Oryzias latipes: one gene and its partner. The protein of the gene in region 1 binds, or shares a complex with, the protein of each later gene. Links are inferred from orthologs where the notes say so. Each region holds a gene or a part of one and is shown on either strand. Other genes may lie near its edges. The genes, in order: myo3b and espn.

Evidence for each region.
Region 2: the proteins of myo3b (region 1) and espn are in contact, whole or in part, in a crystal structure (PDB 5ET1), measured with the Mus musculus proteins. The link is inferred for Oryzias latipes from reciprocal best matches to the Homo sapiens genes MYO3B and ESPN. Residues at the interface, in XP_017174528.1 of Mus musculus: Arg1223, Arg1224, Gln1226, Gln1227, Pro1228, Lys1229, Met1230, Leu1231, Ser1232, Ser1233, Asp1236, Thr1237, Met1238, Tyr1239, Tyr1240, Asn1241, Gln1242, Leu1243; in NP_997570.1 of Mus musculus: Leu35, Ala37, His41, Arg45, Ala67, Asn69, Ala71, His75, Asp76, Ala79, Thr80, Asp101, Ser103, Leu110, Arg113, Phe114, Thr135, Thr137, Ala139, His143, Tyr144, Ala147, Thr169, Asn171, Tyr177, Leu178, Gln181, Ala203, Asp205, Met207.

Annotation. Positions count from the first base shown.
Region 1 is NC_019879.2:21,806,988-21,810,810, forward strand, and holds part of myo3b (myosin-IIIb), read left to right. Parts: intron 1-400; coding exon 401-477; intron 478-1,078; coding exon 1,079-1,224; intron 1,225-3,823.
Region 2 is NC_019865.2:7,840,650-7,844,472, forward strand, and holds part of espn (espin), read right to left. Parts: coding exon 3,744-3,823; intron 2,721-3,743; coding exon 2,538-2,720; intron 1,723-2,537; coding exon 1,591-1,722; intron 1-1,590. UniProt on the Homo sapiens protein: Multifunctional actin-bundling protein. Plays a major role in regulating the organization, dimension, dynamics and signaling capacities of the actin filament-rich microvilli in the mechanosensory and chemosensory cells.

The DNA of each region.
Region 1 (3,823 bases):
CCCCTAAGTCTCCTGTGCGGCATAAAGTCTTTCGTTTCACAGACCGTATCCTTAACCCTGGGCTATTATTGCTCATTTAAATTGTATTATTTGATCCTTTGCATATTAAAAGAAAGCTTTCCACAGCAAATGACTTTCAGTCAACCCCAGGCATGTTTATGTCCTCTGTGTCGCAGAGATGAAGAGGACTCATGCTGATAAAAATCTGTCCTACATAATTTGAAATGATTATTGGCCATTATTACCAGTGCTTGGCAGGATGCCATGCTAAACTGTACGCCAGGATTTATTCAGAAACTCAAACATTTACCACCTGACGTAAATTGAACGTATACTCCTGGGACATTCAGTCTGAGAAGCACGCCGTTGAATTTCAGACTCTGCTTTTCATCTTTTGTAGGGGTTTCAGCTCAGCTGACCAGCGCACGGTTGCGGAGGAACACGTCTGTCGGGACCCCATTTTGGATGGCTCCAGAGGTCAGGGTCAGCATGTTCATCTCTACCAGTGCAGCACTAACGGATGTTCCAGCGCTTTAATGCGTTCTTTAAGCAAGCAAGGTCTTCATGTTGTACAAAGAGAGAAAAGAGGGAGCGCCTCAGTTATTGCAGTCCCTCCTCTGTGTCATTATGTATTCCCCTCCTATTCTCCTCCACGGGTGCAGCTTTTGAGGTTGCCTCAAGGTTAATAGCTGGGAGTCTGAGGCCCCATTGGCTTACTGTTAGGTACAAATGATGTGCAGTGATTGGCTTGGTCAGTAGAGACCTCAGGGACAATTAGAATAAATTCAGCTTTGAAATGTAATGTCAGTTATAATTACGGACTGGAGGGAAGAGTAGCTGCTGAAGTGACTCGGCTTAAATGGCCCATGAATAAGCCTTTTTTTTTGTTTTTTGTTTTTTTACCAGGAGTGAGTAGGATACAGAAAAATTTAGATGTTTTTCCAAAAATAACTCCTGTGGTTTACAGGACTTGTTTCAGCAGTAGAATGACATTTGGTTTATTTTTGGATTGTTGTAAGTCGGTGACAGTCTGAATGAGCTGCTCAGGTGCCCCCTCCCTGTCGTTTCATGTTGGCAGGTCATAGCCTGTGAACAGCAGTATGACTACTCCTATGACGCTCGCTGTGATGTGTGGTCTCTCGGCATTACGGCCATCGAGCTGGCAGATGGAGATCCCCCACTGGCTGAAATGCATCCAGTTAAAGCCCTTTTCAAGATCCCAAGGTGAGTCCAGCAGAGGGCGCTGTGACCATGCAGCTGGAGGCCCCTCACACAAAGGCGACCATTCAGTCAAGACAGTAGATGACAATAGAAATGATGGGAGACAGCAGCTTTTTTTAATTTAATTTAATTTTTTTAAACTTTTTTCTCCTTTGAAATGCAGAATAAAAGCAAACTTGTCTGTTTTTTTATATTATAGAAGTGCATTTAAATATTTGATATAAAGAGCATCTGCTGAGCTACTGATCATTGCAAACACTAAAAGAAACCATGCTTTTATCTTAAAAGTGTTGATTTCTGCTCTGTGCCTGATGATCACGTGAGGCTTCAGTGACCTTCCTTTATCGGCACAATCCTGCAATTATCTCACAGTTGGGCTGAGATACATTTTCTGATTGCAATTTGCATTGGTGATTAGCTTCATTCACATTGAGATGAGCCTGCCACCTCCTCCCCATCACAATATTACCCCCGCCCTGCCCAGACAGAGCATGGCTTGTGTTGGGAGAATTACGCGAGTTGCTGCAGCCTTGCATTAGCACCAAGTTTGGTCCAGACTGAGCAGTGATTATAAGAGAAGGGCTGTCTGATAGCAGGGCGGGGCAGTGCTTTTTTTCACTGTTCTTGTAACGAGGACTTGTTGCTTTGGTGAGGATTGTTTAAAGTATCCATCCATCTTCTTTGTCCTGTCCAGGGTCATGGGGGTTACTGGAGCTAATCCCAGCTTCTTCAGGGTTAAGTCAGAGTACACCCGGGACAGGTTACCAATCTAATGCAGGGCCACACACAGTCACTCATCCTGTGGATCAAATCGCCAATCAAGCAAGCATGTGTTCAGGACTGAGGGAGTAAGCATATAAAGTAAACACATGTATGGGAAAAAAATGCAAACTTAACCAGGATTTAAACCACAGATTTCTTACTGCAAGGTGGCTGTGCTAACGTGCAACTGAGGAATCACCTTTTATTTTTTACTTAAGCTCACCTCAGATGATGCTACATATATCTAGAGCTGACATCCCTGACTCCACACTCCTGGAGAAATTTATGTTTTGGCCTTTTGCTATGAATTGGGACCTTAAAGGTTTAGTGGTTCTGTCATAAATTTCACTGAATCCACCCAGCCATGAAGCAGTTCTGGTAACATGTCACTTATCTTAAATATCTTCTCCACGTCCCTGGTTTCAAAGTCAGAACAAAGTGCAAGACTCCTGAATGAATTAGTTTTTAAATAAGGGACTGTGCTTCGTACTTATATTTTGGTGTGAATGCCCCAGTGACCCATAAAACCAGACAGACCAGCTCTATGTTTAATAATAGCAAACTTAACTTCACCAGTTCTGTGTCCTGATGGTAGAGTGTTTATCCTCAGTCTAGAGATCATTGGTTTGAGTTCATTGCAAGACCCTTAAAATGGAACCCAACACCTCCCTGGTTGACCTCTCAGCATTAAAGACCCACTCCGATCATCTTTTGATCTGTTTTCAAAGTGTTTCCAAAAAAACTGTCATTTTCTAGTACATAATATCTGCAGAGCAGCAGGAGTTCATTAGAAATCACCTCTGAGTTGTGGAAGAGACCTTTGGTGCAGAGCAACCCTGCCCCCCTTTCCCTACTCATTGCTGATAGCTCTCTGTTTATGCTCTCTCCCAGTAGCGGTTTTAGGCACGGGCCATACGGGCGATCGCCCGGGGCGGAAAAATGACGGAGGGGCGGCGCCAGCGGCTCAGCTCTTGTAAAATACTTTATGCATCACTATTGGTTTACTTATATCACAGAGTTTGTAACAGCCTGAAACCTGGCGGCGGCCCCGCCCCGCAGCTGCGCTCCCTGCTGTCTTTGAGAAGTAGACGCAAATGTGTGTGAGAAGGAGAAGGGAGGGGGCGCGGGGTGAAGAAGGAGAAGGGAGGGGGCGCGGGGTGAAGGGTGCAGGCTGAGGTGAGCACGGAGCACAAAACGCATGCGCAAACCTGGCTGGATCTTCTTCCAGGGGGGCAACGGTCGCGGGCCGCGGCTCAGTGCTGGATGAAAAAATAAAAATAAAAATCGCGCCGCCATGTAGCGAATTGGCGCCCCTGGGTGCAGCTGCACGCGCTCCTGCTGGAAATGTTTGACGAACGGGAGGGGGGGGCTGCGGGTATAAAAAAAGTATAAAAAAATCATGCTTTTTTGGTTATTTCAAATAAAAAATGGGAAAACAAAAAAAAATTCTTCACTTAGATGACAGTTGGTTTAGTCGACAGACTTGATACCTATGTCAGGACATTTATGCTAAATGCAAAAACATCTGAAATATGGAGAAAAAAGGTCAAAGCTGGTGCCCAATTTAGAAAGAAAAGAGAAGAAGAGGAGAAAAGAGACAAAGAAAAGGTTATTATCGCATAGCTAGATGCACGTTTTCTAAATTCGAATGCTACCTGCCCTACAACAACAACAACGTTGCAGAGGAAAAATCTCTTGTTTGGTCTATCATGACCAAAACTGAAGTAGGCCCAAATATTGCAAATAACGTCATTTTTAAGATATTTATTCTTCAATGTTTGCTCTGCCTTAACTTGTAACATTAGTTATGATTCGTGTGTCTGTCTGCTCTGCTGTATCA
Region 2 (3,823 bases), on another chromosome or scaffold:
GCAGCAGTGGGAGAGGTATGCATTTTATCCTATCACATGATTCAATATACATCTTGATACGTGGTCCGCAAATCGATACATACTCTTGTAACCTTGTGGTGACACGATACAGCCTAATTCTTTTACCTAAATACTGTAGATCCCATCTAGATATTTATCATGCATTTGGCATTTAAAACTATAGATAAAAATGGATCTTAACAGAGAAACTCTTTTTTTCCTCTTAAAGGCACTTTTTATTTTAAGTAACAAAAATGTCTGACATATTGTAAATTGAATTGCCAATTGAGAAGTGCATATTATTTTGAATTATGACTGGAAAAAAACTTCCATATAACAACTTTTAACAATAAAACCTGGCATTTTGGACCTTTTAGATGGTTTTGGTCTTTGTATTTAATGGGCCTATATCATGGTATTTTTAAGCCTTTCAGGGTAAACCACATCCATATATATAATATATTACCTTTGACATACCAAAGAACGATTTTAAATGAAATTTGGGTTATTTTTGCAGTTCATTTTCCTACCCAGAAGTAAGATGACTCAATCTCTGAGGCATCACCTTTACGGAGAAAGTGGCTGTTTGTGTTAGCTTGGGGGGGGGGTTGCTGGCAGCGCAGACTCTTCCCCACTTAGTCTGTTCCCCACTTAGTTACGTTGCAAAGTGAGGACCCATCCGTTTTCTGAGAGCAGGGTTTTAGAGGAATACTCAAAGATGTGTGAATGGAGCAATTTGGGGGTGTTTTTCTACAGGTATAAACATTTTTATACACTTAAAATCTCAAAAAGTTGATTTAGCATGATATAGGCCCTATAAAATAATTTATTTAGGTATTGTTTGAAGTGCTGTAAAAAAAGTGTAATGACACCCCTTCAGCCAATTGTATTTAACCTGCTGGGTAGAAGCAAGCTTGTAATTGGACATTTTTTGTTTGCATCACAAGTACACAAAAGACAGTCGTGACCACAACAGGAAGAAAAACTGACTAAGTTTGTTAGAAACTTATCATTTACTTTCCAATCAATATTATATCTTTTTACCAACATAATCCTGTTCACATCTGTGGTTTGAGCCAATACTGCTCTTACTCTCATAACTAGATCGATTTTTCAATAAATATCTGTATCCTTAACATCCCTAATCAGTAGTACTCCGGAGTTCAGTGACTTTGTCAAAGAAACATTAGTTCCCAAAGATAGGAATTGAACCAGTCACCTACAGCTGGTTTCCCCCAAAGCAACAGCTGCTCCCTTAAGGTGCAATGATTGATTAATATTCTTTTTTCCTGCAGCTATTTTTGTACCTTTTCATTTGTATAGATTAAATGCTATTTTCAAATTTTAAAAAGGTTACTAGCATCTAAAGTAATGGGTAATGTTATCATCCAGCTGTTCATTTTACCATGTCATAGTTTGTGACATAAGTAACACATAAATGTACAAAATGTCAACATTATATTTGACAGCAGAAGTTTCACTGGACTGACATCCAAGGCTGTCTGACATCACCTCACAGCTGGGTTCTGTTCATACAGAGGTCAGAGGTCAAGTTTCAAGACAATGTGAGGACTTGATGAGAGCTCTTACCATGTTCTCCACTGTGCGCAGATATTTTGCGCACTGTGATTGGCCATTGTATTCTGCCAGGTCTGCCGCTGTGAAGCCATCCTGATCTCTTATACCCAGATCCACTCCATTCACTACAAGAATCTGACAGCACTGAGGAGAAAACAAAGACAGAATCAGAGATGAAGTAAAAAAGGATGAGAATTTTCTTTAGGGGTTTTTAAGCTGCCATAACAAATCACACCAGAAAAGGTTTGAAGTTTGATCAAACTCTTGCTCTTCATTTGTAAGGCAGCATCTTCCCCATCAGTGTGGAGTATTTATGCAAAGTTTGTTTAAGTCAAACATAAAAATCAAGCAGAAACATAATAAGACTCAAGGGCCAAATTTGGCTCCAGAGCATATTCATTAAACCTGATAGCTCATGTACTAATAAAGAAAGATTGCACTAATAAAGTAACATTTATTGAATGAATCAATAACTGAGGGTTAAAGAAATATTAGGAAAGTTGAAGACAAGAAAAACATTTTTTTTCTTGAAAACATCCAGAGATCCCAAACTGATGAGCATAAGTGTTGCTTGGTGTGTTACATTTGTTTTTTCTGTCAATTCATTTAAAAGTATTTATGCTATTTCCTTGCGTTGTGCTCTGCTTTGTAAACATTAGACATGTGGTCATTACAACCAGAACTGGTTACAGCAAACAGTTAGTCAAAGCAGTTGGGTCAAATGGTGAAATCAGCAACCCAGAAGTCATGTATTTAAAACAGATGGTTGTAAAACCTAAACCTCAAGAATAAAGCACAAATAGTGCATTACCCTTTACACACTGCTTCCATTACATCATTCTAATCTCCATGTGGTATAAAATTTCCTCTTATTTTAAAGGACTGTAAAAATATGTGAGTGCTATCAGCTTTTGTTTTTCTAAAAAAGATATCTAGTTATTATTAATTACTTCACCCACCTCCAGTTCACCATTCTCTGCTGCATCATGAAGTGGGGTCCCTCCCCAGTGGTCGATGACAATCTCCCCTCCATGCAGCAGCAGCCAGCTGAGCACTTTGGCGTGGCCTCGGCTGGCAGCAAAGTGCATGGCTGTGGCTCCATCGCTGTCCTTGTCTGTCAGGCTGATCTCAGTGAAGCTCGTCTATAAGCACAAACAGCAGACCCCAAGCTTTTGTCCTTCTGAGAGATTTCCGTTGTTGGTGTAAAAACAGAATGTTGTCAAAGCGCAAACGAAAGAAAAAGGAGCACAAAGTGAGTCAAGAATTTTAAACATATGTAGTTAACTTTAAAGTTAACTCTAAAGCTTTAAAGATTCCGACTAATGTTTCAGTAAAAAGTAAACAAACTATTAAAATTATAATTTCTAGTTGACAGACATCAGAATACAACTTGCATTATTTCGTCATCCAATGTACAACAAATGTGTAAATTTGCAATGAAAGCAAGTTATAGCTTGTACCAACAGTAAGGCCTTAGTCACATGCACCCTTATGGGCATTGACCCGTACGACCCCTGTGGAGGGTCCCCCAGTCCAGGGACAGGCAACTCAAGGCCTCGAGGGCTGGTGTGTCTGCATGATTTTACATATCCAAGCCCTAATCATGACTGATTACCTGGTTCAGGTGTGTCCAGCCAATTAGAACATGCCAGAGCAAGGTATGTTGGAAAACATGGAGGAATGTGACCCTTGAGGTGTGGAGTTGGCCATCCCTGCACTAGTTGTTAGTAAAGTATGAATACTAGCCCCTTGCTCAGACAAACTACACAGATTTTTAGAATTTAGGAAATTACACTGTCAGGATGTGTGCTAGGAGCGCACAATTATCACTTGATCAGCACTAATGTCCCCTTGTGCTGGTGGAGGATTTGTGTGGGGTTGAAAATTCACACAATCTGTGTCTCGCCATTTTCACTTACTTACTTACCCTTGCTTTTAAATGGACACTACAACCTGTAGCATTCCCGTAGAAAAAATGTGCAGGAGCATTTTTGCTCACCGAATGGTCTAGGACTCTACGATCTTAAAATTTTGTGCGGGCTACCTACGTGACACATACAGGTTTTGCCCATTTTTCACCTGCAGACAGCCTATATTCGCCCTTAAGGACCCTTGTGACCAAGGCATGATCATTTGACGTACAGTATCCACACACTGTAACGCACCAGCCAGACAATGACGGTGTTGTGCCCCATCTGAGCAGCAGCATGCAGAGGGGTCATCCCATCATTGGCTCTGATGCTTG